4 linked regions of the Stegostoma tigrinum genome follow. The protein of the gene in region 4 interacts with the protein of the main gene of each other region in a pairwise test. Links are inferred from orthologs where the notes say so. Each region holds a gene or a part of one and is shown on either strand. Other genes may lie near its edges.

What was found.
Region 1: the proteins of lnx2a (region 4) and c20h10orf88 interact in binary tests that used the Homo sapiens proteins (3 or more experiments, as listed by UniProt). The link is inferred for Stegostoma tigrinum from reciprocal best matches to the Homo sapiens genes LNX2 and C10orf88.
Region 2: the proteins of lnx2a (region 4) and srsf11 interact in a two-hybrid assay, tested with the Homo sapiens proteins (3 studies listed by BioGRID and IntAct). The link is inferred for Stegostoma tigrinum from reciprocal best matches to the Homo sapiens genes LNX2 and SRSF11.
Region 3: the proteins of lnx2a (region 4) and 5-phosphohydroxy-L-lysine phospho-lyase-like interact in binary tests that used the Homo sapiens proteins (3 or more experiments, as listed by UniProt). The link is inferred for Stegostoma tigrinum from reciprocal best matches to the Homo sapiens genes LNX2 and PHYKPL.

Annotation. Positions count from the first base shown.
Region 1 is NC_081373.1:28,390,206-28,397,436, forward strand, and holds the start of c20h10orf88 (ATPase PAAT), read right to left. Parts: upstream 3,210-7,231; 5' UTR 3,178-3,209; coding exon 3,077-3,177; intron 1,033-3,076; coding exon 832-1,032; intron 1-831. UniProt on the Homo sapiens protein: ATPase that regulates mitochondrial ABC transporters ABCB7, ABCB8/MITOSUR and ABCB10. Regulates mitochondrial ferric concentration and heme biosynthesis and plays a role in the maintenance of mitochondrial homeostasis and cell survival.
Region 2 is NC_081361.1:52,973,069-52,980,564, forward strand, and holds the start of srsf11 (serine/arginine-rich splicing factor 11), read left to right. Parts: upstream 1-4,282; 5' UTR 4,283-4,493; coding exon 4,494-4,609; exon of another isoform or gene 4,610-7,496. UniProt on the Homo sapiens protein: May function in pre-mRNA splicing.
Region 3 is NC_081366.1:36,575,170-36,582,551, forward strand, and holds the start of 5-phosphohydroxy-L-lysine phospho-lyase-like, read right to left. Parts: upstream 3,270-7,382; 5' UTR 3,187-3,269; coding exon 3,128-3,186; exon of another isoform or gene 3,126-3,127; coding exon of another isoform or gene 3,112-3,125; intron 1,272-3,111; coding exon 1,153-1,271; intron 1-1,152.
Region 4 is NC_081359.1:78,386,753-78,394,890, forward strand, and holds the start of lnx2a (ligand of Numb protein X 2a), read right to left. Parts: upstream 3,130-8,138; 5' UTR 2,993-3,129; intron 2,715-2,992; coding exon of another isoform or gene 2,689-2,714; exon of another isoform or gene 2,034-2,688; coding exon of another isoform or gene 2,002-2,033; intron 397-2,001; exon of another isoform or gene 340-396; intron 1-339. Other genes in the region: si:ch211-140b10.6 (protein POLR1D-like), read left to right, coding at 2,689-2,714.

The sequences.
Region 1 (7,231 bases), on a different chromosome or scaffold from region 4:
GTCAATATTGGAAACGAAGAGTCATGGTTCTTTGACTAAGTTTTGAAATGTCTCTCCCTTGACTATTTTTTTAAACCTGTACTGACATAGATGCAAAATTGGTTGTTAAAGCCAGCAAAGGAATTTGGACTGTGTATATAGGGCACTAGTATTATTAAATAGGCCTAAATTTGGAAGTGTTGTGATCACCTTTTTGGAGGCACAGCAAAACTATCCAGCATTAGTCTCGATCTTTAAACACAATCACATAGCATCACCCCTTAAACCAAACCATTGTCTAACAGTAACAAATATGTCATTAAATGTAAACAATCTGTTAATGGAACTGTACACTGAAAAACAGCTTCCTATAAACCACTGTATCCTCCTACACATAGCTGCAAGTGGACCTATTTTACTGTGTGTGTTTTTGGCAACACTGATAAGGTCAGCATTTCTTGCTCAGCCCTAATTGTCCTCAAGAAGGTTGTGAGAATTTGTCTGGAACTGAGTGGTCTGCTAGCCATTTCAGACAGCATAAAAAAATCAAGTATATTGCAATGGATTTGGAATCACACAAGCCAGACTGTTAAAGATGACAGATTTTTTTCCCCCAAAAGCAGCACTAGTAGGTCAGATGGTCTTTTTTTAAATGACATTCTGGTTGTTTCATAGGCAGTGTACTAGAGAATTTAAAAGGCAGTGAATTGGACCTTTGAGAAATATCAGAAGAATCTAACTAATGGCAAAATTTATAATAATCATTTAGAGTGCTCAGCTGATATTTTACAAACTCTATTAGTCTGCTGACTGCCGATTCGAGGTTAATACTGCGAGCTAAAACAACGTTACCCATTTAAATGTAGGTTGTCTAGTCTTAGGCCACGGCTTGTTCCGCAGTACTCTCCTGTGTAAACCTCCATCATTCTTGCTTCGCTCCATACCTCTACAAAGACTATGTCAGCAGGTTGTTGAGGAGAGAACCGTAGATAGAGTATACATGGAGTTTCCACAGTATTGGTTTGAGGCCGTTCCAAAGTAACAAGTTCTGCACTGAATCATAACAAAGGGAACAATGTCACCTTTAACTTAAAGTAAAACATTTTATTTCAAAGTTATAGCCTATTGTAATTTTCTTTTCGTCTTTCCATCTCAAATAGTGTTATATTTCTGGTATACCACAACATTTTCAATGAAGTGAAAATTGAATACTGATTAAATCAAATACTTCACAATTACGACATGCCGTTTGCAATTCAATAAAATTGTACTCCCGGAGTTTAGAGACTCAGAGGAAACCTAAATTGAGGTATATATTGAAGTGGACTGACAAAGTGGACATAAACAGGATGTTTCCTTAAATGGGGCAATCTAGAACATGAGGTCATAGTTTTAGGCTAAGGGGTAGAAGATTTAAAACTGAGATGGGAGAAATTACTTCTCTCAAAGGGTCATGAATCTGTGGAACTCACAACCCTAGACAAGAGGGAATGCTGGGACGTCAAGCAAATTTAAGGAGATAGATGGATTTTTAGTTAGCATAGGGTTGAAGAGTTTTAGAGAACAGTCAGGAAAGGACAGTTGAAGCTGAGATGAGATCAACCATGGTTGTGTTAAATGGTGGAACAGGCTCAAGGAGTTGAATTTCCTATTCCTCCTCCTAGTTCTTTTGAGAATAAGTTACTATGGTGGAATGGGAAAATATATGAAAATATTTAAGGTAAGCAAGTAATAGCTAATATTTAAATAAATATTACATGTTTACCATAAATATACCTTCCCCTAAGACATCAAAACCAACAAAAAGGGTGAGTCAAACATGGCTAACAAAAGTTAAAGTCTGCATTAGGTCAATGGAGGCGATTTAAAAGATTGCTAGAGAAAGCATTAAAGTTACTCTTATCCAGCCTGCCCCAGGGATTTATCTGAAACGAGCAAGGGTAATTGTCAGTGGGAAGCCTCCCTTGGCCAGTGAATCTAGAACCCAGAGACAGTTTCATTATAAGGGGTGGACCATTTATGATAGGGATGAGAGAGAATATCTGCACTCAGAGGGTGATGAATCTTCAGAATTCTGTATTCCAGAGGGCTGTGGAAGGTCAATTATTGAATACATTCAACACAGAAAGTAATGGCTGTTTTGATATTTAAAACATAATGTAATATGGGAATAGCTTAGCAAAGTGGCATTGAGGCAGCAGATCAGCAATAATTTAACTGAATGGCAGACAAGGCTTGAGAGTAGCAAAAGTAGACTACATTTAACATCACTTTATATCACAAAGAACTGACCAATCATCAAAATCACATTGCTTATTATGTTACCAAAAAGACAAAACATTAAAGTGTATTTGTTACCACCAATGAATGGAGATAAAGATAATAAACCCCAGGATTTATGTCTATTATCCAATTTTATTGTGTGCTAGTAATCTGGAAAGTTGTTTAACAACATCTGGATTTTCAATCAGTCATGTGTGACAAGCAGCCAAAGTACTCAGCAGCACCACCACAGGCAGTAAGATGGGTCAGCCATCAGGAGCTGGGAGTTAGGCTATGAATTTAATCGTCACAACGTTGCCCAAGTAAGTTTTACTTAATTTCACCAGAACCGTCTGCGGTCTGCCACTTAAGCAGGGCGAGTGGAAAATTCAGCTTCCCCAGGCAATGCCTACAGAATCTGCTGTGGTGGGTATTCCATGGGTAAGTCCCACCTACATTCAGATTAACGATTAAATAGCCAATGGTTCTAAGGGATACCATAGGCATTTTGACGGTATTTGTGGCATCAGCGGCGGCGAAATAAACTCACAATAGCAAGACTCTGTTTAAAAAAATCAAATCCACAATGAGAAGAAACAGCGGATCAGTCTTTTTAAAAAGATTTGTATTAGTGTCTACGTTTTGTCTATAGTCCAGTGGCTCGCGATAGAAGGAGGCAGTGAGGGGCTGGATGCACTACACTAACGCCGGGCCTGCACACACCCCTCTTCCCCGGAGTGGGAGTAGGGCTCCGGCCCAGTCTCCCCACCGAGCGGGGCCCTGATCCGGCGGGTCCCCGCAGAGACCACGAACCGATCCCTGATCTCCCCCTTACCAGGCAGCGACCTCTCCATCATCCGAATCGCACTCAGTGACCGAGACCCGCAACCGGCCCAGGCCGCACGGCCAAGCGGCTCGGACCGAGACCCGCTCCATCCCCGGCCGGAAACTGACAGCGCGCAGCCGCACTCCCTGGCCAGCGAGCTCAGCTCAGGGAGCACGGTTAACAAGCACTAACTAGCGCCGGCACAGCTCAGGGAGCACGGTTAAACAGCACTAACTAGCGTCGGCACAGCTCAGGGAGCACGGTTAAACAGCACTAACTAGCGCCGGCACAGCTCAGGGAGCATGGTTAACAAGCACTAACTAGCGCCGGCACAGCTCAGGGAGCATGGTTAACAAGCACTAACTAGCGCCGGCACAGCTCAGGGAGCACGGTTAAACAGCACTAACTAGCGCCGGCACACAGCTCAGGGAGCATGGTTAACAAGCACTAACTAGCGCCGGCACAGCTCAGGGAGCATGGTTAAACAGCGCTAACTAGCGCCGGCACAGCTCAGGGAGCATGGTTCACAAGCACTAACTAGCGCCGGCACAGCTCAGGGAGCACGGTTAAACAGCGCTAACTAGCGCCGGCACAGCTCAGGGAGCACGGTTAACAAGCACTAACTAGCGCTGGCACAGCTCAGGGAGCACGGTTAAACAGCACTAACTAGCGCCGGCACAGCTCAGGGAGCATGGTTAACAAGCACTAACTAGCGCTGGCACAGCTCAGGGAGCACGGTTCACAAGCACTAACTAGCGCTGGCACAGCTCAGGGAGCACGGTTAAACAGCACTAACTAGCGCCGGCACAGCTCAGGGAGCACGGTTAACAAGCACTAACTAGCGCCGGCACAGCTCAGGGAGCACGGTTAAACAGCACTAACTCGCGCCGGCACAGTTCAGGGAGCACGGTTAAACAGCACTAACTAGTGCCGGCACAGCTCAGGGAGCACGGTTAACAAGCATCAACACAGCTCAGGGAGCACGGTTAAACAGCACTAACTAGTGCCGGCACAGCTCAGGGAGCATGGTTAACAAGCACTAACTAGCGCCGGCACAGATCAGGGAGCATGGTTAAACAGCACTAACTAGCGCTGGCACAGCTCAGGGAGCACGGTTAACAAGCATCAACACAGCTCAGGGAGCACGGTTAAACAGCACTAACTAGTGCCGGCACAGCTCAGGGAACATGGTTAACAAGCACTAACTAGAGCTGGCACAGCTCAGGGAGCACGGTTAAACAGCGCTAACTAGCGCCGGCACAGCTCAGGGAGCATGGTTAACAAGCATCAACACAGCTCAGGGAGCACGGTTAAACAGCACTAACTAGTGCCAGCACAGTTCAGGGAGCATGGTTAACGAGCACAGTTAACCAGCACTAACTAACACTGGCACAGCTCAGGCAGTATGGTTAACCAACACTAACTAGCAATGGTACAGTGTGGAGAGCACAGTTAACCAGCACTGGCACACTTCAGGGAGCACAGTTAACCAGCATTAACAAGCATTAACCAGTACCAGCACAGCTCAGGGAGCACAGTTAACCAGCACTAACTAGCATTAACACTGTGTGGGGAGCAGGATTAACAGGCATTAACCAGCACCAACACAGCTCAGGGAACAGGGTTAACCAACTCCGACACAGCTGAAAGAGCAGGGTTAACTAGCAGCGACACAGCTCAGGGAGCACGGTTAAGCAGTACTAACCTGCACGGACACAGCTCAGGGAGCAGGGTTAACTAGCGTGAACCAGCACCAACACCTCTCAGTGACCAGTAATAATTAGCATTAACCAGCACCAACATAGCTCAGTGAGCAGCGTAAACCAGCTCCAACACAGCTCAGTGAGCAATGTTAACCAGGATTACCTACTGTAATACCAGCACCAACACATCTCAGGGAGCAGTGTTAACCAGGATTACATGATGAAATACCAGTAATAACATAATTCAGTGGGCAGCTTTCCCTGGTGTAATACCAGCACCATCAAGGCTCAGTGAGCAGCATTATCTGACATAATAAGACATAAGATATAGGAGCAGAATGAGGCCATTCAGCCCATCAAATCAGTTCCTCAATTTGATCACGGCTGATACATTTTTCCTGCCTTCTCCCCATAACCCTTGATCTCTTTGCTAAGCAAGGGCCTACTTATTTCTGTCTTAAATGCACTCAATAATTTGGCCTCCACAGCCCTCTGGAGTAATGAGTTCCACAGAGTCACCACCCTTTGGTTGAAGAAATTCTTCCTCATCTTAGTTCTAAGGGGTCTTCCCTTCATCCAGAGGCTGTGCCTTCAGGTTTTAGTCTGTCCGATCAATGGAAATATCTTCTCCATGGCCATTCTATTCAGGCCTCTCAGTACCCTTTAAGTTTCAATCAGATCCCTCCCATCCTTCTAAATTTCATTGAGTACAGACCCAGAGTCCTCAACCAGTCCTCATATGACAAGCCCTTCATCCCTGGGATCATTCTTGTCAACCTCCTCTCGACCAACTTCAAAACCAGCACATCCTTCTTTAGATTTAGGTCCAAAACCACTCATAAAATTCCATATGTGGCCTGACCACAGCCTTATGCAGCCTCAGCAGGACATCTCTGCTCTTATATTTTTGCCCTCTTGTAATCAATGCCAACATTGTGTTTGCCTTCCTAATCGTCATCCGAACCTACATGTTAACTTTAAGAGAATCCTGAACTAAGACTCCAAAGTATCTTTGCACTCCCGATTTCCAAAACTTCTCCCAAATAGAAAATAGTCTATGGCTCTTTTATTCCTACCAAAATAAATAACCTCACACTTTGCCACGTTGTGTTCTATCTGCCATGTCTTTGCTGTCTTGCCTACATGTCTGACTCATTCTTCAGTCTCCCCACCTCCTTAACACTACCTGTCCCTCCACCTACTTTTGTGTCATCTGCAAGCTTAGCAACAAAATCTTCAGTTCCTTTGACTCGATGGTTAATGTGTAACGTGAATATCTGTAGTCCCAACACTGACCCCTGTGGAACTCCAATAGTCACTGGCTGCCATACTGAAAAATACTCCTTTATCCCCACTCTCTGTTTTTTGCCATTTAGCCAATCCTCTGTCCATGCCAGCACTTTACCCCAACACTATGGGGTGTTATCATATTCAGCAGCCTCCTATGCAGCTCCTTTGTCAGAGGCATTCTGATCGTAACAGCTCAGTGAATTGCATTAACCAGCATTACCTGCTGTAATACCAACACCAACACAACTCAGTGAGCAGCTTTGCCTGGTACAATATCAACATTAACTCAACTCAGTTACCAGTCACCACCTGGTGTATTAACATAATTAATTCAACACAGTGACCAATCTCTGCCTGGTGTAATAACAGCACTAATGCATCTTCATGTCCAGTCACTGCTGGGGTAATATTAGCATTAGCTCAACACAGTGAGCAGTCACTGTCTCGTATGATATTCGTATTTAAATAACTCAATGACCAGTTATTACCTGATGTAATATCCATATTAAAAAAAACTTGAAAACCAATCATTTCTTGGTGTAATATCAGCAATTCCAAAGCTCAGAAACTTGTCATTGCCTGGTGTAATACCAGCATTAACACCACTCTGTAACCAGGTCTCGCCTTGCTGTTGTATGATATATACTCCGACATTCATATTTTCTATGTGTGTGGGTTCTTTGGGGTGACACCATTTAGTGAATGTGACAATAGACACTTCCAGTCTTATAAGAAGCATTGTGTACATTAAACAATACATAGTTCATTACATCTCTGCAACTATCTACACGTAATAATAAACACTACATTATTACACTAACTTTTAGGATGATCAGTTAAACATCTGTTTTGCACAAAATCCTACTTTACTTCCAACCAAATCCCCACAACAACATCACAGTGAGTGGTGCAAGTAGGTCTTAACCTTTTCAGATCCAACAACAACAATGTCAGATCAGCTTAAACCCAATTTGGAAACTATCATTGATAACAAGGTGAAGAGGTGGATGAACACAGCAGGCCAAGCAGCATCTCCAACATCTGCATTTCCTACTATCTCTAAAACAATTTTAACCCCACTGTGAAGCTTTTTCTAAGGATGCTTCTCCAGCATCTGCAGTTTCTACTATCTTAGAATCTGTCATTACCTGTTGTAAAATCAATACCCAAG
Region 2 (7,496 bases), on a different chromosome or scaffold from region 4:
TTTCCGTAACTCCCTTGTCCGCTCCACACTCCCCTCCAACCGTACCACACCTGGCACTTTCCCCTGCACCTGCAGGAAGTGCTACACCTGTCCCCTCACCCCCATCCCAGGCCCCAAGATGACTTTCCATATCAAACAGATGTTCACCTGCACATCCGCCAATGTAGTATATTGCATCTGCTGTACACGGTGTGGCTACCTCTACATCGGGGAAACCAAGCTGAGGCTTGGGGACCGCTTTGCAGAACACCTACACTCGGTTCACAGTAAACAACTGCCCCTCCCAGTCGCGAACCATTTCAACTCCCCCTCCCATTCCTTAGACGACATGTCCATCCTGGGCCTCCTGCAGTGCCATAATGATGTCACCCGTAGGTTGCAGGAACAGCAACTCATATTCCACTGGGGAACCCTGCAGCCCAATGGTATCAATGTGGATTTCACCAGCTTCAAAATCTCTCCTCCCCCCACTGCATCCCAAAACCAGCCCAGCTCGTCCCAGCCTGCCTAACCTGTTCTTCCTCTCACCTATCACCTCCGTCCACCTCAAGCCGCGTCTCCATTTCCTACCTACTAACCTCATCCCGCCCCCTTGACCTGTCCGTCCTCCCCGGACTGACCTATCCCCTCCCTACTTCCCCACCCATACTCTCCTCTCCACCTATCTTCTCCTCTCTCCATCTTCAGTCCACCTCTCCCTCTCTTGCTATTTATTTCAGAATCCTCTCCCCATCCCCTTTTCTGATGAAGGGCCCAGGCTCGAAACGTCAGCTTTTGTGCTCCTAAGATGCTGCTTGGCCTGCTGTGTTCATCCAGCCACACAGTTTGTTATCTTGGAAGGGGAATCAACTCCTTTGTGAAAAGAGAAACAGTGTTAATATTTGAGTCTGAAATGTCTCTTCTTCTGAAGTCATACCAGGCTCAAAATATTAAATTTCTTTCTCCCTCTGTGGATGCTGCTCAACCTGCTGTGTTCTCCAGTATTCTGTGCTGGTTTCAGAGTTCCAGCATGCACTGTATTTTGCTTTTATTTGAATCAACTTCTTACTGTTGGCATCAGTCTGAAGCACATTGACATCATGGATAAGAATGGGAAGCAGCAATGAAAGTAACAGGAGATTTACCTGCAATATAAACAGAAACATACAAGCTTCTACAAGCACAAGTGGACATGCAAGGTCTCAGTTTAACATGTTATGCGTACAAAAATATCTATGATATTTTAACACTCCCTCAGTGCTACAGTGGAGTGGTTGACTACACTTTGCGTTCAAGTCACTAAAGTGATATTTGAACCCAGTGAACCAACACTGAGATTGAGAATGTCTATAAAGTGAACAAAAGCAACAAACACAAGACTGATGTATGGCGTAACAAAATTTACTTGCAGCATAATGGCTCAGAGGTTAGCACTGCTGCTACGCAGCACCAGGGACCCAGGTTCAATTCTACCCTCAGGTGACTAGCTGTGTGGAGTTTACACATTCTCCCCATACCTGTGTGGGTCTTCTCCCTCACTCCAAAGATGTGCAGGATAGGTGGATTGGTTATGCTAAATTGCCCATTATGTTCAAGAATGTGTAGATTAGGGGTGTGGACTTGTTGGGCTGAAGGGCCTGTTTCCACACTGGAGGGATTTGATGATAATTTTGACATTTTGCAGCAAAACTGAATACAGTAACATACTAAAAAGTTAAATCGGCAAATACAATATTAAAAAAGAAAATGCATTAGTATTTTGTGAAGATTGTATATTAAAATAAAAATGTACTACTATGTCACAAATGATAATGGAAATACTCATGTTTATAGAATCATAGAATCCCTACAGAAGGATGCCATTCTGCCCATCAAATCTGCATCTGAGGAGCATCCTACCCAGACTCAGCCACCTACCGCATCCCCATAACTCCACATCTACCATGGCTGATCCTGCACATCTCTGGACACTACGGACAGTTTTAGCATGGCCAATCCACCTAACCTTCACATCTATGGACTGTGGGAGGAAACTCACACAGACGTGGGGAGAATATGCAAACTTCACACAGTCACCGAAGGCTAGAATTGTACCCCAATCCCTGCAAAGGCTGCTGGCAGTTTTTGATGGCGTTCTATGTATTTAACAACTGTCTCACTTCCTAGTAGCAGAGGAATCCTTTAGATTGTTGAAAGTGTTCTCTGCTGAATACTTTTGCAAGCTTATTCAGTAGCTTTCAGCAGACAGCTGTCAAACTGAACTTGGAGAGAGAATATATGATTTAATAACTTACATTTACACAAAGAAATTGGAAACAAAAGAAAATGCATGTGACATCTGTTTCTTATTCTGTCTCTGAACTAAAAACATACTTAGTTTTTCAATATTATCAATTTCTAAGACCTCCTCCTCATTAGAACTACCATATAGCAGCTTTTTTAAAGCTGGAATTCATCTAGGTTTGACCATCATGTGAAAAATGTTTCATTCTTTTTCCTGATAATTGCCTGTTATACCTACACATTAAGCTTCTTTACGTAGGTTTTCCCATTAATGGTTCGAAAATAGCTTTTTACCTCATTAAAGAGACATTGACATTTTTTATTTAGGTTGCCCCCCAAAATATTATTGTTTCAAGCTTCAACTTTAATATTTGCAGGTGGTAATGATATTAAGTGGAGAAAAAAATACTGTGTCATTCCATTGAAAACGAGAGATATATAATTTTGAAATTATCAAGTACTCAGTTTGATTCATTGATTCTCAGAAAGAATATTGGGATTGAAGGGGACTCAGGTAATTGAAACATTTCCTAAGGAGGGATGTTGAAGGAACTGTGATAAATTTCCAAGTCAAAATGGTACATGACTAGTGTTCCATGTCCTTGTTGGTGCCCTTGTTGTCTTGGGTGGTGTAAGTCCCGAATTGGAAGGTGCTGTGGAAGTAGCATTGAAAAATGTTTGTAGTGCATCTCTAAAATGTACACACTCCAGCTAAATGTTTGAAGTGGTAGATATGGTGCAATTCACCTTGCCCTAGATCTTGAACAGAAGGAATTGTACTTATTCAGGCAAGTGAAAAGTAATGCATCACATTCCTGGTTTGTGCTCTGTAAATAGTGAAAAGCTTTGTTGAGTTAGGGGATGAGTAAGTTGTTGCAGAATTCTCAGCTTCTGACCTGGACTTGTGGCATGATAGAACATAGAACATAGAACATTACAGCACAGTACATGCCCTTCAGCCCTCGATGTTGTGCCAACCTGTCATACCGATCTGAAGCCCATCTAACCTACACTATTCCATGTATGTCCATATGCTTATCCAATGACGACTTAAATGTACCTAAAGTTGGCGAATCTACTACCATTGCAGGGAAAGTGTTCCATTCCCCTACTATATATGGTGGTTGTTCCAAGTTTCTGCATGGTCAAGGGTTACACACAGATGTTCATAGAGCAGGATTCAGCAATGCCTTTGAATGTTATGGGGAAGTGGTTAAACTTTCTTTTATGCATTGCTTGGAACTTGTGTGGCATGAGCATTGCTCATTTATTTATCTACACAAAAGTTGAAAGTTGTCCACATTGCTGCTGCATTTGGTTAGAAGCTTCTCACCACTTTACAAAATACTAATTTGAAACATTAACTGTGCTTTCTCCACAGATGCAGCCTGTCTTACTGTTCACAACACTTTCTATTTATATCAGTGATAATGGGAACTGCAGATGCTGGAGAATCCAAGATAACAAAGTGTGGAGCTGGATGAACACAGCAGGCCAAGCAGCATGTCAGGAACACAAGGTGCTCCTGAGATGCTGCTTGGCCTGCTGTGTTCATCCAGCTCCACACTTTCTAAATCCTCTGGGAATATATTTCAAATCTCTGAAGCATTTGTTGTGGGAAAAGCACTGCACCAAGAAACTGAAAATGACAGGCACTGAAGAGGAAGAAAACTTGACTTCTTTTGTTGATAAATAGAAAGACCGTAAAGGCAGTAATGTTGGTATAAAACAAAGAACTGTGGATGCTGGAAATCCGAAACAAAATAAATATTGCTGGAGACACTCAGCAGGTCTGGTAACATCTGAGAAATATTGACTCTGCTTCTCTCCACAGATGTTCCAAGTCAGAAATGTTATTTACTTTGCATTTCTTTTGTGATGGTAAATGCTCCGAAATCTCCTGAAAATGGTAGTCGCTTAGGCCGGATTTTTAGGCAGAAAGATATTCACTTCCGTCCGCCCGCCGCCAGGGGAAGGAAGGATCGTGCTGCGCTTGCGCGTTGAATCGCGCCGGATTGTGGGATACCGCGGAGCCTGCCCGTTGTTGTTGAAGGTTTCGGGGCGAAGACCCGGGAGTTTGCAGTGCCGATTAAATTATCTGTGAATTGTCATATATAGTTTATTTTCTTCTGTATTCTTAATGTCTTAGGTTCAAGAAAACGTCGTTGAAAAAATTGGATCGAGAAAGTAATTACTTTAAAAAAAATAAAACCTTTATTTAAAAACGCGAGATGGCTACAGACGTCATTCAAGTGACCAATGTGTCGCCGAGCGCCACCTCGGAGCAGATGAAAACTCTGTTCGGGTTTCTGGGCAAAATCGACGAGTTGCGGCTCTTCCCATCAGAGTGAGTAACTCCAAACTTCCAGACAGGCCTGGGGCCTAGCCCGCGTCGGATCCGCTTTTAAGACTTTTCCTTTTTGAGTGAAAGTAAATTTCTGTTGGGCGTACGTTTTATGAGCGTACGACTTGATATAATCCTTGAGTGAAAGTATTCACTTTTTTCTTCCTTTCCTCGTAAACGATTACGAAGTAGCAATTTTTCTCCTCTATTGTGTGGCGTTTGGACTCGCTGCCATCTCATACGCGTCATCTCCTTTATTCCCACCACATGTTCCAAGCTGTTTTTATCAGGATTCATATCGACGGTGTTCTTTGAATAAAAAAAATGAAACGAGAATGTTCTTATTTGAAAGATGTTTATTTGAAGGTACCCAAGCTTTGGAGGATTTATTATTACCGGGGTAAAGCAAAATGGCCGCCAATGTAACACCTTTCGTCAATCCTGTCAGACGATCCTTGTTTTCGATCGTTATTGTTCAATGATGTTGTGAACTTACTACTAATCATTATTAAATGTGTTAAACAGTGTTTTGAATAAAATTGGCTACATTTTGTGAGGAAAAGAAAAGCGCGAGCAGTTCAGAAGCAGACTTCAAGTGTCGTACGGCCTACACCTCGTGTTTCTTAAGTGTGGGGAAGTAAATAGGCTACTGAAGGAGAAATGGGCGTATGACAACACAAGTAAAGTGAAATTTTCATGGTCTTACAAAAGCCGTTAGCCATTGACTCAATTTGTAATTTCGGCCGAAAAACAGACGGAATTAAAAAATGAGAGATAATGGAAACTGCAGATGCTGGATGAGTCGGTTTTTATTTTTAAAAGTGAGAAAATTATAACTGATTTTATTGTTGTCAAGACTTGACAACATCTTTTGAAAGGAACGCACATCGGTAAATGCATATTACGTTAGAGAAGGATGATTCTGAACATTAAACATTTTATCCTTTTTCGAATATTGCTTGAGACTCTGAATCATTATATTTGTACAGTGTTTATTTATAATACTTGTATATATTTATGATTTGTTCTCTCCTGAGACTTGGTTGTTAAAGTGGCATTATTGGCACGGTGAACAGTTCCCTGTAACATTTTAATTACGTTGCTTAATTATCTTTTCAGGTATTTTCTGTTTGTTTCCTTAGGCAAAGATGTACATGCTTTAAACCTGAAGATTTAAAGCTCGTGAAGATTTGTAGCTTGGGTTGTGGATGAAGTTGTTGGCTTGCTTGCTGGGTTGGTTGTTGTTCAGAAATTTCGTCACTGTGCTACTTAACGTCATCAGTGCGGCCTCCGATGAAATGATGATGTTCTACTCCGAGATAATAGGAACTGCAAATGCTGGAGAATCCAAGATAACAAGGTGTGGAGCTGGATGAACACCGCAGGTCAAGCAGCATCTTAAGAGCAGGAAGGCTGACATGTTACGTTTCTGATGAAGGGTCTAGGCCCGAAATGCCAGCCGCCTTGTTCTGCTCCACTTGGTATTAATGTGATCCGGTCTGTTAAGTTGGGCTGTGTCATTTCCAGTTATGTTCTGCATGGGTTTGTATATTAGGTCTAATTCCACATGTTTGTTGATTGCGTTATGGATTGAAAACCAGGCCTCTAGGATTCCCCGTGTGTATCTGTGGCTGGCTTGAGCTACGATGGTCACACTGTCCCAGTTAAATTGATGGCCTTTATTGTCTGAGTGCCGAGACGAGGGACAGTTCGTCGTGTCGTTTTGCTACTAGCTGATGTTTATACACCCTTATGCAATCAAAAACGTGTGACATTAGACCCCACATACAAACCGATGCAGAACAGAACCGGAAGTGACTCACACCAGCTTAACAGACCAGATAGTAAAAATACCAAACGGAGTAGAACAACATTGCTTCATTGGAGGCCGCACTGGTGTTACCTAGCATGGCGTTGAAACGTCTTTGTCATAACTAGCCAGATCAGCGAGCAAGCAAACAACCTTAAACCCGAAGAATTTGGGTACGGATTGACTTAAAAATTTTTGAGGTTGTTATGCATAAAGATAGTTTCAAATATTATTTTTGTTAAACTTGGTGACTGATTTATCATAGCTACTTCCTAATTTTTGATATCAGAGGTATACCTCTTATCCCTTCATAAATCAGCTAACTTATTAACTAATGCTTTTTTATGCTCAACAGTTACTTGCTGGATAATGGTTTTCTGGAAGTTTTTTTTATGAACAAAGATGACTTAACCAGAGTCCAGAGGACAGCACTGCAGGGAAGAATAAATTATCACTGCTCGTAAAATGATGCTAATATTTAGTCCAGTGTCTAGATGATTTGGAAAGAAGAATAGGGTATTCCATAGTTCTGAGATGGTATAAGTGACAAGATTGGACCACAAGATTCAGGGGTGTCTCGGCAGGATATATGTGGAAAGCATATTTCCTCTTGTGTGAGAGAGCTAAGTGTCAATGCTTTAAAAATAAGGGATTAATCTTTTAAAGACAGGAAGATTTTCTTCCTACAAAGAGTCTTGGGACATTTCCTCAAAAGGTATTAGAAGCAGAGTATTTTGAATGTTTTTAAGACAAATGTTGATTAGATTTCAGATGAGTAAAGTATGAAAGGTTATAGGGATAAGTGTGAATTTTGAGTAAATCAACCAACCAAACTCTTATTGAATGGTGGAGAGTTAACTTCCTAGTTCAGATGTTCACATTATACTTAAGTCTTGATTCCGATGTTGGCACAAGAGACAAAATCTTAGATGGGATCAGGGTTTTGAGTTTGAACTTAGTGTAAAATAAGAGGCTGTGAATATAATCTCTGTTGAAAATAGTTTATATGTAATTCCATGGCAGGAGTGGCAGTCTGTCCACAAGCATAATATCCTGCTGACACAATTCAAGTATGATTGA
Region 3 (7,382 bases), on a different chromosome or scaffold from region 4:
AAGCTACAGGGAAAAAATGGGCCTAGGTCCCAGGACGTAGAGGGGGAGGGAATGTCGTGATTGGAATGACATCAGTCAGGCAGACCTCATGGATTGGGGCTGTTAATCTGGTCTAATCAGGGAGTTCTAGCTGACCGATATAAACAGAAGTGTCTCCTTAGAGAAGGAGCACGCGTTGTCCAACAATACTCTCTCGATACTTTTCAGAAGAGATGGGCACTGCGGGGTGTGGAGTGCCTTATTTCCCTTCCCCTCACTTTTTTTCCTTTCAGGTAGGCTTTGCCCCGATGGGCTGTGCTTGATACTGATTCTTTGGCTGTTTTTCTTTCTGCTGGTGGTATGTTAATAAAGTTATTTGCAAACCTGGAGTTTTTCTTTAAACTGTGTCTCTCACCTACACATGCACAACAAGGGTACTGGAGAACTGGGGGGGTTGGGGAAAAAAGGGGATTAAATAACTGGGGGGGGGGAAAATATGCGTATATATATATCAGGAGATTAGAAACTCCTCTGCTGAAGTGACTGACTGAGCTGGCAGCCAAAAAGAAATAAACAGTCTAGGAGCCAGCTCTGATCTAGCTGGGTCAGTGTCATGTACTAGGCACATGTAAATAAAGAATGACTTGATGATAGGATACCAGCCTTCATGGAGTTATTTTAGAACCAAATAGTGATAAAGCTATTTTAGATGTAGTATTGTTTACTGAGACCTAATTAATTCATAATCTCATTGCAAAACGTGTAATGGTAAATACAGTTGAATTTCATACGTTTGAAAGTGACAAGACTCTTAAAATTTTTAAATAAAGCCAATTTAAAGAAACAATTCAAAGTATTCAGTGAAAATAAATTCCACTTAAAAACGAACAAAACCTTAACAAAATAGATTCATCCAGGCCTTAATAAGACATTAAGCATAGCATCAGATTAAAATAGAAGGTTTATAATATTGCAAGGAATGGTGGTAAATTTGAGGAATAAGAGTGTTTTAGATTCCAGCAACTGATGATTAAAATGTTGCGACAAGAGGGGAAAAAAGTAGAAAGCAAAGTAGCCAGGAATATATTAAAAAATTGTAAGAAGTGTAAATGTTACGCACAGCTTCCCTAATGGTTATGTAAGCTTTGTCATCCGTTTAGATGAGCTTCTTACCATGAGCAACATTATTAATACAGTCCAAATATTTTCTGTCCTTTTCATCAAACATATATTGCCCCTGAGCTCTGACAATCTTGATAGGGTCATCAGGAAAAAAAAGCCTGCAAGAAGATCTGAAAATAAAATGTAGAGATCACAATATAACTAAATCATTTATAGATTTTTGAACCTTTTATTCTTTTAATCTTTCCTAATGCTATTTTTAAACTGCACTATACGTTACCATTAAAACAAAACATGAAGTCTTTGTAACACAATGCTGTCTTAATGAATAAAAACACAAAAAACAATAAACCTTCATTCTAGTTAGCTGTCCACAGTACAGGATTTTTAAATATATGCTGGTTGTTCATAGAACAATACAGCGCAGAACAGGCCCTTCAGCCCTCGATGTTGCACCAATCTGTGAACTAATCTAAGCAACCTCCCCTTACACTATCCCATCGTCATCCATATGCTTATCCAAGGACTGTTAAAATGCCCCTAATTTGGCTGAGTTAATTATATTGGCTGGCAGGGCATTCCACACCCTTAGCACTCTCTGATTCTTTGTACTGGACACTTATATCCTCTGAATTCTACACCATGGCCCTTCATAGGTTCATATTTGAGGAGAATGAAGCATTCACCTGGAGCTCAGATATGCCTCAAAGTATAATCACACATTTAAGTGTGCTATAACATCTCTTTTGTAGTTATGTGGGTACGGGTAGGGATGCATTGGTTAACGTTTTTAGTTGACACTGAAGGATTTTTTAAAGAAATTCTATTTACTTGTAATCTCAAATACACCAAATTTTGTAAAATTGAAGTAACGAGAATCAGAAGAACTCATTGGGTTAAACTTATGATAAAGGGAGATTTGTGGTTGTTGAACACCATTCACCACAGGCCAGGAACTCTGATGCCTCAGTGCAGCATTCCAAGCCCAAATATCTTCAGTGCTTTGTCAATGAGCTTTCCTCCACTATAAAAAGGTTAGAAATGTTCAGTTTACAGTGCAATTCATATCTTCTAAGATACTGACTCAGTCTGACCACATTTACTGAAAGAGTTGGACATTTAGGCTTTGTACTAAAATTGTGGCACGGAACATTTGCACCAGACAAGTGCTAAGTAAAAACCATTCCCAACAAAGGAAATTTGAACCGTTTCTTTTGATGTCAAATGATATTACCAATAATGAATATGCAACCATCAACACCCCAGGATTTACCATTGACCTGAAAGTTAATTAGGAGAGCAACATAAATGCTGTGGCTACAACAGGAGCTCAGAGGCCAGGATAGAAGAGGACTACCTGCCCTTATTTTGATGGCTTGTCTCACGTCTTTTAAAGGCCTTTTTGTTTCAATTTTAGGACAGCCCCATGACTGACTAGGCTGCGCCTGAAAGTTTCCTTTGTTTTTGTCGCTGCTTATTTTGTGAGCGCAGACAGTAAAGTTGTGGCCAGTTACAAAGCAGGAATTAGATCTATTCCATCCCACAAACTAGGCGTACTTTATTTTGTTTCAAAAAGTTAGCCATTTGCCTGGATGAAAATAATCCAATAAGGCCATCTACTTGAAGGACAATTCATTCACTACCTTCAACACTCTCGCCACTTTTTCTTTGATGAAGGGTCTCGGCCCGAAACTTCAGCTTTTGTGCTCCTAAGATGCTGCTTGGCCTGCTGTGTTCACTAATCTATCCGCTAGCCACCCTTTAGGAGCTAAATTTAGGAACAAACTGTACGTGAATGTTACATAAGCAGCCCTCCAGGAATGTCTCCAATCAGCTCATCTACTCAGTAATAACACTTTCAATTCTTCACGCTACTTTACATAAACAGTGAGGGGACTGATACAAGGACCTGCAATTCGCTCATTGCTGATAAGGCTGAAACAAACCGCAAACATGGTAACATGGACTTTACTCCGCCTAGCCCCGTTATAAATCGCAGCGAGAGCACACCTGACTGAATACATACGCGATGTACTTCTTTCGGAGAGTTAAGGTTTCTTTTTTGTCGTAAAGTTCAGAAGCCATGCTCGGCTACAAGTTATTGGTCTGTCCAAGAGTCACATCGGTCTTGCCCTCTTCCTCTGCATACGTCAGCACTTGGCATTTGTTTTAGCAGAAGCTGGATTTCGCCCCCCCGCGGTGATACAGTGTACCACTGCTGCACGGTCCTGCTAGTTTATTTGGCATTTGATTGATAGGGCGCGGTCATGCAATAACGTAATCATGGCGTTATAGAAGAAATACCACTAATGTGTTTACCGCTCGAGTAGTTCGCATGGTCTTAGAGACACCCTGTTCTACCCAACAAGTAAGCTCGTGGACCCGGTTGTTTTGAAACAATCGTAAATGCTTGTCCCGAAAATGCTTCCAAGAAAACCAAATGATTATGGTCCGTATAGATAACAATATTGTCCTTATTGTTGATAATGTATATGCCAAAATGCTGATCAGCCGAAGCAAGACCTATTGTCTCTTGTTTCAGTAGTTGAATATCTTTTGTTCACGTGGTAATTTCTTCAAAAAATAATTGACAAGCCATTCATCAACAGCCAGTTCGAACAGCTTTGCATACTTTGGCACGGTTTAAAACAGTACCATTATTGGTACAGCTTTCAAATTTTTAAAGGGAAGTTAACACCCATTCAAATTTCCAGCTTTTTAAAAGTGCAACAGTGCACTTTTAAGTGTGATAGAATCCACTCGTGCCAAAATAATGCATAATTTCACATTTTGTCTTCTACATGGAAAATCAAAGCAGCCTGTACAGCTGCTTCTCTAAGTGTGATTTGACCGTGTCCCATAGTATGGTACAAAGAAGTCACCTTGGCCCTAGCACATCATTCTTATCCATATTTACGGCTAACTTTGCTTTTCACAGCCAAAGAATTTAATCAAGTGTGTAAATGCTCTTCCCAGGCTGAGCTATAAGCAACCAAACGTAAACGACAGAATTACCAATCCTTGTATCTCTTTATCAGTTAACCATTGAAACATTGCTGGTGCATTTTTTGTTCCAAATTGATACAACTTTGGACCAGGTAAGTCCATCTGCTGTAACAAAAGCCAAAATTTCATCGCCCACTTGGTTAAAAGAACTTGCATTTAGTAACTCTATTTTAGGAATGGGCGTGACCAAATAATTTGACACAATCCTCCAGTTTTGGTATAGGATATGAATCAATTGTCATAACCATACTGACTTTATAATAATCAACTTGGAATATTTGTGACTCATCCAGTTTTGGCACCATCATGATGTCTCCAGCTACTTTGATCCAGTTCCATAAAGTCATTGCCTATCATAACCTTTCTGCGTCTGAGCTAATCTCTTTGGATTGAGTCTAAACAGGTTTGCTTTATAGATATTGCATTCCCCACATTAACATCACGTATAACCAAAACGGCCTTTCCTGGCCTATTCCCATGGATTCATTTATAATTCTGTGTTAGCCTTTGTAAGTCACTTCAGTAGTTTTCAAGAAGATAAGACATGATGTTATCTAATCTTTTAGCTTCCTCTGTATTTTCCAGTTTGATTTTTGGAAATTAACTTTTGAATTTTCCATTTCAGATTCATTCTTCCATTGCACTAGCATTTCTCTTTAACTCTCTACTTCCTTCGTTAGACTAAGTACACTTTCTCTCGATTGCCATCCCTATCAGTGTATCTTTTCAGTACATTGACCTCACACACTCACTGACATTTTCTTCTGTCTGAAGTGCTTATTACATAATTTATACCATTAAGTCTCTCCTTAATTTGCTAAAGTCCACTGAGCCTTGCTTTTAATGGTTCCCCACAGACAGGCAACAACCTTCCCTCCTGCAACAAAATTTCAAAAAATCTCTGGCCTTTTTGCCTGTTCTAGTTTACATTATTTGTTGACTTTCCTTCAAATGGTTTTTTAGTCAACTCACATGTGCTAGTATGATTCTGTCTAAAATTTGAGACATCAGTTGGAAGTGTTGTTTCTGAACTTTAGTTTATTAACTTTCTGAAATCATTTTAAGTGGTCATCTTATTTGAAAGAGACCAAATTCTATGGACTCATTCCTCTAATGGCAAATAGTAACAAAAGAATACCCAAAGGAATTCTGATACCTGGTTTTTGGTAGGGATCCTACATAATCAGACATCACATGACACTAGATTAAAGTCCAATAGATTTTATTTGAAATCACAAACTTTCAGAGTGCAGCCCCTTTGTTAGGTGCAGCACCTGACTGAACCTGATGAAGGGGTAGTGCTCCAAAAGGTTGTGAGATTTCAAATAAACCTGATGTTGTGTGACTTCTGTCTTTGTCCACCTGGGTCCAACACTGGTACCACCACATTATGGCTACCATCCTACATAACCTATTAAGACCCTGCTAAATGTTACCACAAAAGCTAGTATTGGAAATACCCATTTCTGAAGAAGGGTCTATGCCTGAAACGTCAGCTTTCATGCTTGTCTGATGCTGCTTGGCCTGCTGCGTTCATCCAGCTCTACACCTTATTATCTCAGATTCTCCAGCATCTGCAGTTCCTACTATCTCTGAAACAATTTTAACCCCACTGCGAAGCCTCTTCTAAGGATGCCTACTTTGAAGAAGTTACTCTCCTCCCTCCGGAAAGACCTCAGTGGATCTCTCTCCCACTGTGACTCTCTTGTAATCTCTTCGGCCACCCCCCATTTCTGAAGAAGGGTCTAGGCCTGAAACGTCAGCATTCCTGCTCCTCTGATGCTGCTTGGCCTGCTGTGTTCATCCAGCTCTACACCTTGTTATCTCATTGGAATTAATAGTACAGATTTAGTTGAGGTTTGGGGTTTCCCTACAACCTGACAATTATATCTGCTGCTTCACTGATCTTGAACATTTGATGCTTATCTAAGTAACTTAAAAAACTTGCAGAAGTGTTACCTGTGAATTCTTCCATGATCATAATTTCCCTTCCATTTTCCACCCACTAGCTTGAGTGACCTAAACCACTGATTCTACAGCATTTCTTATTCCCTTGCAAATTCCACAAATGTCTGATTTGGCTCTTTCTTATAAGTCCTAAATTTCAATTGATAAACTTCAAGCACAAATTCATAAGTTTTGAGTATTACCTCTTTGATAGTTTCATACGCTGCAGATTGTTTTTCTGACAAGGTCATTGTTATACCTGTCAAAACATTGTAGTCACTTCACCTGTTTAGCTGCCTTCTCAGTTAAGGTAAAATATCTTCTGACTCCATCCTCATTAAAATTTAGGCACTAAGTTTAGAATTTTGTTTAATCAAATCCCTCATTGGAATGAGAATCATCTGAATTATTGCCCCTTCCTCCCTTTCTCATTCTAAGCTTTTCTTTTGCTATCTCATGTTCTTTAGTTTCCTTTTCTTTTTGGAGTTCAAATTTTCTTTATTCCATTTCTCCTATTTTTCTCTGTCCTGTCTTTCCATTATTCTCCATTTTCTTTTCTCTTCACTTCCAAGTTTTTAAATTTCTCTTTTTCTAAGTGCAGTTTTGTTTTTCATTCCTTACTGTATTTTAGCTAATTTCAGCTATGGGATCCCAATTCTAAATATTGCACTCCAAGTTTCTCATACATATGAGATCTTGCTTTTATTTCTGCTGTCAATGTGCCTGCTAAAAATGTCAGTTTAGCTTTAGTCAAAGATCTTAAATAATTCTTTGACAAGTCTTCCACTTCCAGAAAACACTTAGCAACTTGAAAAACCATCTTTAAATTTTGCGCAATAAACTTCACCACAACACAGCTGCTGTATATCCAGAACCACTCTGTAGCTATGACTTTAACACGAAAGACACAGATCCCTCTTAAATCCAGTGAATTTAAAAATCCTATCAAGAGTCCCTGCTCGTTCTGAGCCCGGCTGATGTTAGAACTTGCACTGATAGACTATATTTTGATTTGTTTTGGTTGTAACACAGAGGTCTCTCACAGAAACGTTAAGTTCTGAGGAACGGTCGCTGGACCTGAAACATTAACCCTGATCTTTCTTCACAGATGCCGCCGGACCTACTGAGCTTTTCCAGCTACTTCTGCTTTTGTTTCTGATTTACAGTTTTTTCGTTTTTTTTAAAAAAGACCTCTCTTATCCTCTACACTGGAGTTTGGATCATAAAACTATCAATGTGCATAAAATCCTATTAATTTGAAAACAATTTCTTAGAGAAATTATAATGGCTACTGTTAATTGTTATTTTCAAACACACAGAAAAACCCA
Region 4 (8,138 bases):
TTGAGGAATGGTTACGGTAGCACATGAATGCAGTGGATAGCTTGGAACAGTGGGCAAGATGGTATGAAGGTAGTCAGGTTGGCAACAAATGGATTGGGTCAGTTGGGCATGAGTCAGGGTGATTTGAGGATTAGGCAGGGTAATTGGAGTGTCAGGAGGAAAGCTTGTACAGTTGCAGGGGTAACTGGGGGGAAATCAGTGTAAGTGGCTGGGAGGTAAGGTTGGGGAGACAGTTGGATAGCTACCCAGGAGTGAGACCAGATTTTGTCCTGTTCCAACATTTCCTGGGTAAGTGTTCAGCAAATAGATGTATATGATCCAAAAAGTCTCCTACTATACCTGAGAATTGGAAACATTTTCGGAGGGCCCCAGAAACAAGGCATTGCAGACCAAAAGTTCAGATTCATCAAGTCCGGTGGAGTCCTTCCACTGGGACTTCTAAAGAATTCAATAACATACAGACTGGGCTTACTCCAGAAAATAAGTAAATGAAGACCAGGAGATCTGGGCTATTATTGCTAACTTATGGAAACCAGATGACATCAAATCAGTATTTATTTCAGTCATTTACTTTCATAAATTAAAGAGGTGCATAAATTGTCCCAGTGTTCAGCAAGGTATCATTATCTTTTTGATCTCACTGGACTATTATCAGCTGGCACTTCCAGTAATTTGACGGCAAAAAAACTAAACTTGCAATTGCAAATCAAGCTAATGGGGGAGACTGCAAATTCCTTGTTCCAGACAAATCTGATCCCACTGATCCAACAATGATATATATCTCTTGTTTCTTATTTACAAAAATTGCAAGGATTTCTAGTAGCTATATGTACATCACAGTACAGAATAACAGGGGGTTTCACTGATCAATTTTGTTACTGCTGAACAAAGCAATTCTAAGTACAAAAATGAATATATAAATTAACATCCTCACAAGTACCCCTTAAATGAAATTTTTGGTGCGCAAAGTGTTAACATTTCAAATTAAAATAAACATATTCAAAACATTCAGATATTTTTCTTTGCTAAAAGTACACAAACAAAACTCAATCCAGAATTATTAAGTGATTGTAAAAATGACTTTTTATTAAAAAAACACAATATGGCAGTATTTAAAAATCAATAGTAAAATCGTTCAATTCGAAAGACGTAAAAAACATACGATTAAAATTGTTTTAAATAAAAACTGCTTATCTTAGGCTTTTCCATTAATTTAAAATGATTGCTGTTGAGATGTCATAAAAATATAAGTAAATCACAAAACAAGTGAGCTCTACACTTTACCAACGCAAGAACGTTTTCTAAACTGACCACTTCTACTTCAAATATTTGCAAGGTTAAATAGAAACTTGAGTCAATACTTGATGCATGGACAAAACGACCTGAACGACTGAACAAATTAATAGATTAACGAGAAGTACATCAATATTACAGCGGTGAAATGAAATTTCATTGTTAAATATCAACGTATTATTCGCCTTTACAAAAACAAATTACTGCGGATACTGGAAAACGGGCAGGTGGTGGACAGAATCAATTAAACATCTGTTTGTTAGTGCTCTCAGAGTGGCAGGTTTTATGTTGTCCATAAACAAGCACATATAGATATATATAAATATACACATACGTCTCCCTTCTGAGCGCAATAACAAACACTCCTGAAAGCATGGCGAGACGTCTAAAATGCACGAAGTCAAATATCAAAGCAGCCTCAGCAATCTATGCAACAAGCGGCTCTCCCCACATCTCAATCCAGCAGCTTCCCAGATAACGGTCACATCAAAAACGTTCTCCTGCAGACTCTGATTTATACCAGCGAAGCGGTATGGGAAAAATAAATCAATCACCGGAGTAGGAAGATTTCACGTTAAAAAGACTGAGTTGGGAGGGGTAGGAGGCGCCTGCATTTCTCTCACACACTCCCTCCAAGATTCTTCGTCGTCAAGATACCAATAACTGCGAAATAAATATCAAATGGGTTTTCCTTTACGTTTACTTTACCTTTCGTGGTGCAGACAGCAAACACTAACCATACAGCGCCATACAATTCCAAGAAATCGTGCAAGTAACTGAATGTTTCAAGGCGATTGGTGAACATTCACTGCGAGAACTTCGGTTTTAGTGTTCAAGATTTGTACAGAAGATTACCAGTCAAATAAACTTGCTTAGTCGGGGAGCCACATTGACAGGACAGACATCCAATTACAATTCGAGATGCCACAAAGATCTGCCCACCGACGAAGGCAGGCGTGAAAGGCAAACCAATCAAAGCGCACGACAATGTCACCGCTTCCCCTCCTGTACCCCCAAAATTGCAGCAAGTTAGTGTGAAGCCGACCTGAGGAAACCTTTCTGTCTCTTAACGTTGCCTGCACGAATGGGGAGAGCTGTAGGTGGTTTGTATTTACGAAGGGGAGACAGAAATGAAGAGACAAAAATAATTTCCTGGAGGAAGTGAATGTTATTTCCCGTCATTATTCACAACGACCATGTTTCAGTCAGCTGTTTCTTTCGGAGCACGTATGATCAGGCGGCTGAGATAGGCCATCCTGCTGCGGACAGTGGAGGGGCGGGGAAAAGCTGGGCTTTCGCGGTCTCCGCGGCGGCTCGCTCCGAGACGCGGCTTTCAAAAGAAACCGAAGAAGTCGCGAGCTTCAGAGCAGTGTTAGAGTCGCGCGAGAAGTTGTCATGGAGAAAGATGGCGAACTCGAGAGGTAAACAATATCTAATGACTTCAGCCAGAGACTATGTTAATGTCATTATCAGCAGCACAGGGGCTTACTGGCCCTGTCCTGTGTGCGGTGTCTTGGCAACCGACTCTAAACAAACCCGATTCAAATTTTGTGTAAGAGATAATGGGAACTGAAGATGCTGGATAATCTGAGATAACAAAGTGTAGAGCTGGATGAACACAGCAGGCCAAGCAGCAGCTTGGGAGCGCAAAAACTGACGTTTCGGGCATAGACCCTTCATCAGAAACCTTTCTGGTTACCTGTTCGATATCGCGTTTGTTGCAGGCCTCCTCGGGCGTAGCGTATTCCCAACTCTGTATACAGAATGTGTATATCTGTAAAAAACATACCAGCCCGGTGTGACGTGTTCCGCCTCGCAAATCTGGCATGTCATGGCCATTCCCCTCCCGCCCACAACCTCAGCAAGGGTTATGGGTCAGCTAGTGCCGACATAAAATTCAGGCTGCCCTCTGACTATACATGCCAGAGAATATGCTAGGGTTCAGAAACCTGGCACGTTACCATCCATGATAACAAGGTGTAGAGCTGGATGAACACAGCAGGCCAAGCAACATCAGATAAGCAAGAAAGCTGACGTTTCATTTTCTGAAGAAGGGTCCACACCCGAAACGTTAGCTTCCTTGCACCTCCAACGCTGCCTGGCCTGCTGTGTTCATCCAGCTCTACACCTTGTAATCTCAGATTGTCCAGCATCAGCAATTCCTACTATCTCTGAATCAACTTTACCATCAATGACGTTACCATGTCGCTAGCCTCGCAACTGGAACATACTGTATGAACAGCACTATGCTTATCACGATCCTTCAGTTACTGCTCATATAATTTTGAAAATCAAATCAGCACGTGGAATAACACTACAGGTATCCTAATTGCATTTTTTTTGGAATGTCTATTCAGAGTTAAACTGAATTTGTTGCACTTGTAGCACCTAACATAGCAACTGAAATGAAACAAAGAACTGTGAATGCTGGAGATTTGAAGCAAAGAAAAACAAAAGAGCTGGAGAGACTCAACTGATTTGGTGGCATTTGTGGAGTGAAAGCAATGTTTTGAGTCCAGTGACCCTTCTTCAGAACATAGTAATTACTTAATTTCATGTGGGATGTAAGGCCCACTATGACATTGTCCAAGTAACATGTATTTGCTTGACCATTTGCAGTTTTTATTGTTTACGTAATGTGCCACCCCTGGTCTACTCCAAGGCTGGGCAACTTGAGGTTGGCAGTATTTACATTTTGGTGTTCTTAGGGACATAACTGTTGTGCAATATCTCTGCCCAGGAGACCTCGGTTCGAGGTCTCTGAACCTCTGAACAAGTTGGTTAGAAGACCTCTCGAGGTGTAATATGCCCAAGATTTGTGGGGTGGTCAACACCACAGCAAGGAACTCAGCAAATCGCACCAATCTGGCCACCCTGGGCTGTATTATCTGCATACATCTGTTTCAGTTCTTTTCAAGGCCTGTCTTGAGATTTTTTTGAATTTCAAAGTCTACTTTGTTCATTTCCATTAACTCCATTAGATGATACATTCATGTGATAACATGACTGTCTGTGTTGGTGTTGATTTTTTTTCTTCAGTTTTTATGTCATTTTAGTAATCCAAATGGAAAGATTGCAGTACACAGCAGATTTTCCAATTTTAAGACAAGGATTAATTAGTTCAAAAGAGCATGGTAACCATGTGTCAATGCTATAATCTGAAGTGCTATTCCCCATTCCAAATTACCCTTGAAAAGCTAGTGGTTAACTACCTTTTTTTGAGTACACCTGAGTAGTTTGCTAGTCACTTTCAGACGTCTGCTAAAAGTCAATTACATTGCAGTGTATTTGGATTCACACGTAAGCCTGAATGTTTAAGGTTGATCTCTTTCCCAAGAGAACATTAGTGCATCAGGTGTTTTACTTTACAACAGTGCAGTTGTTTCATTTAAGTTTAAATTCCCTTGCAAGAAGGGAATTTAAAACATAAAAGTATCTTGCCACACATCTGTCTTCACTGCTCCATGTTAGATGCCTTGATATCTTATGTCTTATATTAGAACCCAGATACCATTTGCTGTTCAGTGCTTAACCCACATGGAGGCTGCATTTACATTGCAGAGTCAACATGAGGTTGCTCTGACACTAATTACAGTTAATGTGTGGCCAAAGCAGAGAAACACCAGAGTGAAGTGGAGCAGAACAGCCTGTAGGAGGGCTTTTGAATCAGTCAGGACGCAACGTGGACAGCTCAGTTTAAAATTCATGACAAAAATTAAAACTGATTTCTAGCAATCTTGAACTTTACTACAAATGCATGCTTAGCAACAACCTAACTAAAGTCAGTAATAAATTTAGGGTAAAAAACACTTAAAGATGTGGCATCAGTATAAGGAAATGGATTAACAAATTAAGTTGTTTGGAGTGTATGATCCACTATTATCCAGGTTTAACAGTTGGAAATGATGAGGCTACAGCTTTGAGGCACATGCCAGACAGGGAATACAATGTGCATGTCTTGTTTGCACGCTTTAGTCTTTATCACCATATCACTCTCCTCTTTCCTGGCTCAGGCTCACCACAGCTTACTAAGGCCACAGTGCCAGAAGCTGGGCTTCATGCACACACCATCCTCATTCTATCTCTCCCACATGCGGGGATGACATTTCTCTCATTTGTCATCCCTGCATTGACTTTTTTTTTGCAGTCTTTTTAGGGCTTTTGAAGGCAAATTCATCCATTTTTTTATAGTATTATAAACTTTGATAAACTTGGTTCCATCAAGCATGTTAAGCACGAGCTGAAATTTTATTACTTGATTCTGTGCCCTTTAAAGCTGCATTATTTTTATTTCCTAGCCATCAATGTGGATCAGTTCTCAAGGGACAATACTTTTTTTCTATCTATAGACACTGTTGAGATATTTTCTGAATTGAAGGTCATGCATTGAAAAGTTGTACCGTATATAAAGGGGAAAAAATCATTATTTTTGAAATGTTATCATAGTTATGCAGTCAAAATGTGCAATCATGAGAGACAATATTAATGCCTCTGAAGCATCCAGTGCTAATAGTAAAGAGAACTGTTCGAAGTAGTTTCCTAAACAATAGAAAGATAAATTTGCATCAATAATTGGAAGAAAATGTCCTTTGTCAAAGAGCAGAAAGCTGCATTATACAGGTGTTAAAGGGCTTATACAATTGGCACACTTGCACTGCCCCTGAAAAATTGCATAGTTGACAACAAGATAACGTAATTCACAATTTCCTGAGATTAAAATCATTTGTCTAAAATATTAGTGCTGATTTACTGAAGTTAGTTTATATTTATTATAAACAGCACAGTTTCTATAATTCTTCATTAGCTTTCATTGTGTGAACCGATTTGAGGTTTTGTTGTTGAAATAAGAAGTGTTGTTTTTATTCAAAATGTGGAATTTATTCTTCTTTTCTAAAGGTTTTGGAGTAGATTTGTAGCGCGGGTTGTGGGTGTTGAGGTTGGTTGACTGGCCGAGCTGGTTTGATGTTTCATTACCCTGCTGGGTAACATCATCAGTGCAGCCTCTGATGAAGCGTTGGTGTGTTTTCCCGGCTGGTTTTTAAAACTCTGGAGTCCGGTGAGCTGGATTGCCTCACTTCCAGTTTTCCTTCGTAGTGGAGTGTATATGGTGGGACAACACCAAAATCCTGGGTAAGCAGAGACATGCACAGGAATTCATAGAAGGCTGGTACTCCATGAAGTATCAATAAACACGTAGAATTCGACCCCCCACATACACGCCACTACAAAGGAAAACCGGAAGTGAGGCAATCCAGCTCAACGGACTCCAGAGTTTAAAAACCAGGTGGGAAAACACACCAATGCTTCATCAGAGGCTGCACTGATGATGATGTTACCCAGCAGGATAATGAAACGTCTGCGGAACAACAAACCAGCTCAGCAACCAACTTCAATTTTTTTTTCTGTATTGGAAAGCATAGGATTATGTTTACCTCGTCAGCAAGTAGCTCTACAGGACATTTTGATTTATATCTGAATGTTAGTTTTATCAGCTTTGACATTAAGTCGATGCCATGCCCACTATTTCAAGTGAATGTAAAAGAAAACTGTCATGCCAGTCCTTCATGGGAAGTTCTGGTCAATATTTGTTCCTCATTCAGTACCATTAAAAATACAGATTTACTAAACATTACCATATTACTTTTTCTGGGGCTGTCACATTTCCTACATTCCAATACCTGTTTTGCTAGGAAGAAACAATGTTGAGGTTCTTAAACAGTGTAAATCACATGAGGGCATGAAATGTGCTGTAAATGCAAAGTTTTCTTTACCGCGCGTAGATTCAACTTTTTACTATCTTTTTCCCAATTTGGATATGTATTTGACATTTAGGGTGACTGCTGTAACATTGATTTAGAAAATCATTTGCTTACCAAGTATTCTACATTAGCTGTACTGTTCCAAGAAGCAAAGAGGTGCTGAAATGGAAAATGCAAACAATATCATTTATATCCTTTTGGCTTGTTTTATATATATATATACCGGTTTTTAACTGTGGCTAATGCAAGTTTAAGAGTGGAAAATATTTAAGTATTTGTCCAGTGCTTTCATGTTTGACACAAATTAGTTTGTAGCAAAATAAAGTTGCAACTAACTTAAAAATGATATGTAAACCTTCACCTAGAGTGGCTTAGTAACACCGTTGTTGACCAAGCTGGCTGGGTCCTAAAGGAAAAAGCAGCCTGATATTATGTTGTCTGCCATGTTTTTGAAACATAATGTGGGAAAATGTGAGTTTATGCACTTTGGCAGGAAGAATAGAGCAGTTGGATATTATTTAAATAGAGAAAGACTCCAGAAAACTGCAGCACAGTGGAGATTTCAGTGTCTTCATGCATAAGTCACCAAAGGCGTTCATTGGGTAATAGGGAAGGCAAATGAATTGTTGGCCTTTATTTCCCAGGGAATGGAGTGTTAAAAATGAGGAAGTTTTTGCAAAAACAATACAAGGCACTAGTTAGACCACATCTATAATACTGTGAACAGTTCAGCTGCCTTCACTCAGGAAAGAAGCAGCAAAAGCGGAGAGGTCCCTAATGTATACACCAGCAGTAGAGCTGCTTCCACAAAAAGAAGTGTGACATCACAAGAAAGCTGGTACATAACTTGTGAGCATTTCTCTCATCTCTTGTGACTGGATATTGATTTAAATTGAAGCCATAAATACATCTTACAAACTTTACATAAATAATTAATATTTTAGAACAGCAAAACTGAATTTCTTCATTTGATAGATTTAGAGTTCTGATTATTTTGTCTGACATAAACAAGAGTAAGATTTTACTCATCTATTCCTAAATTGGAGTGTTGGTAAAATAAAAGCGAGTGCATGTTCTCTTCGGTTA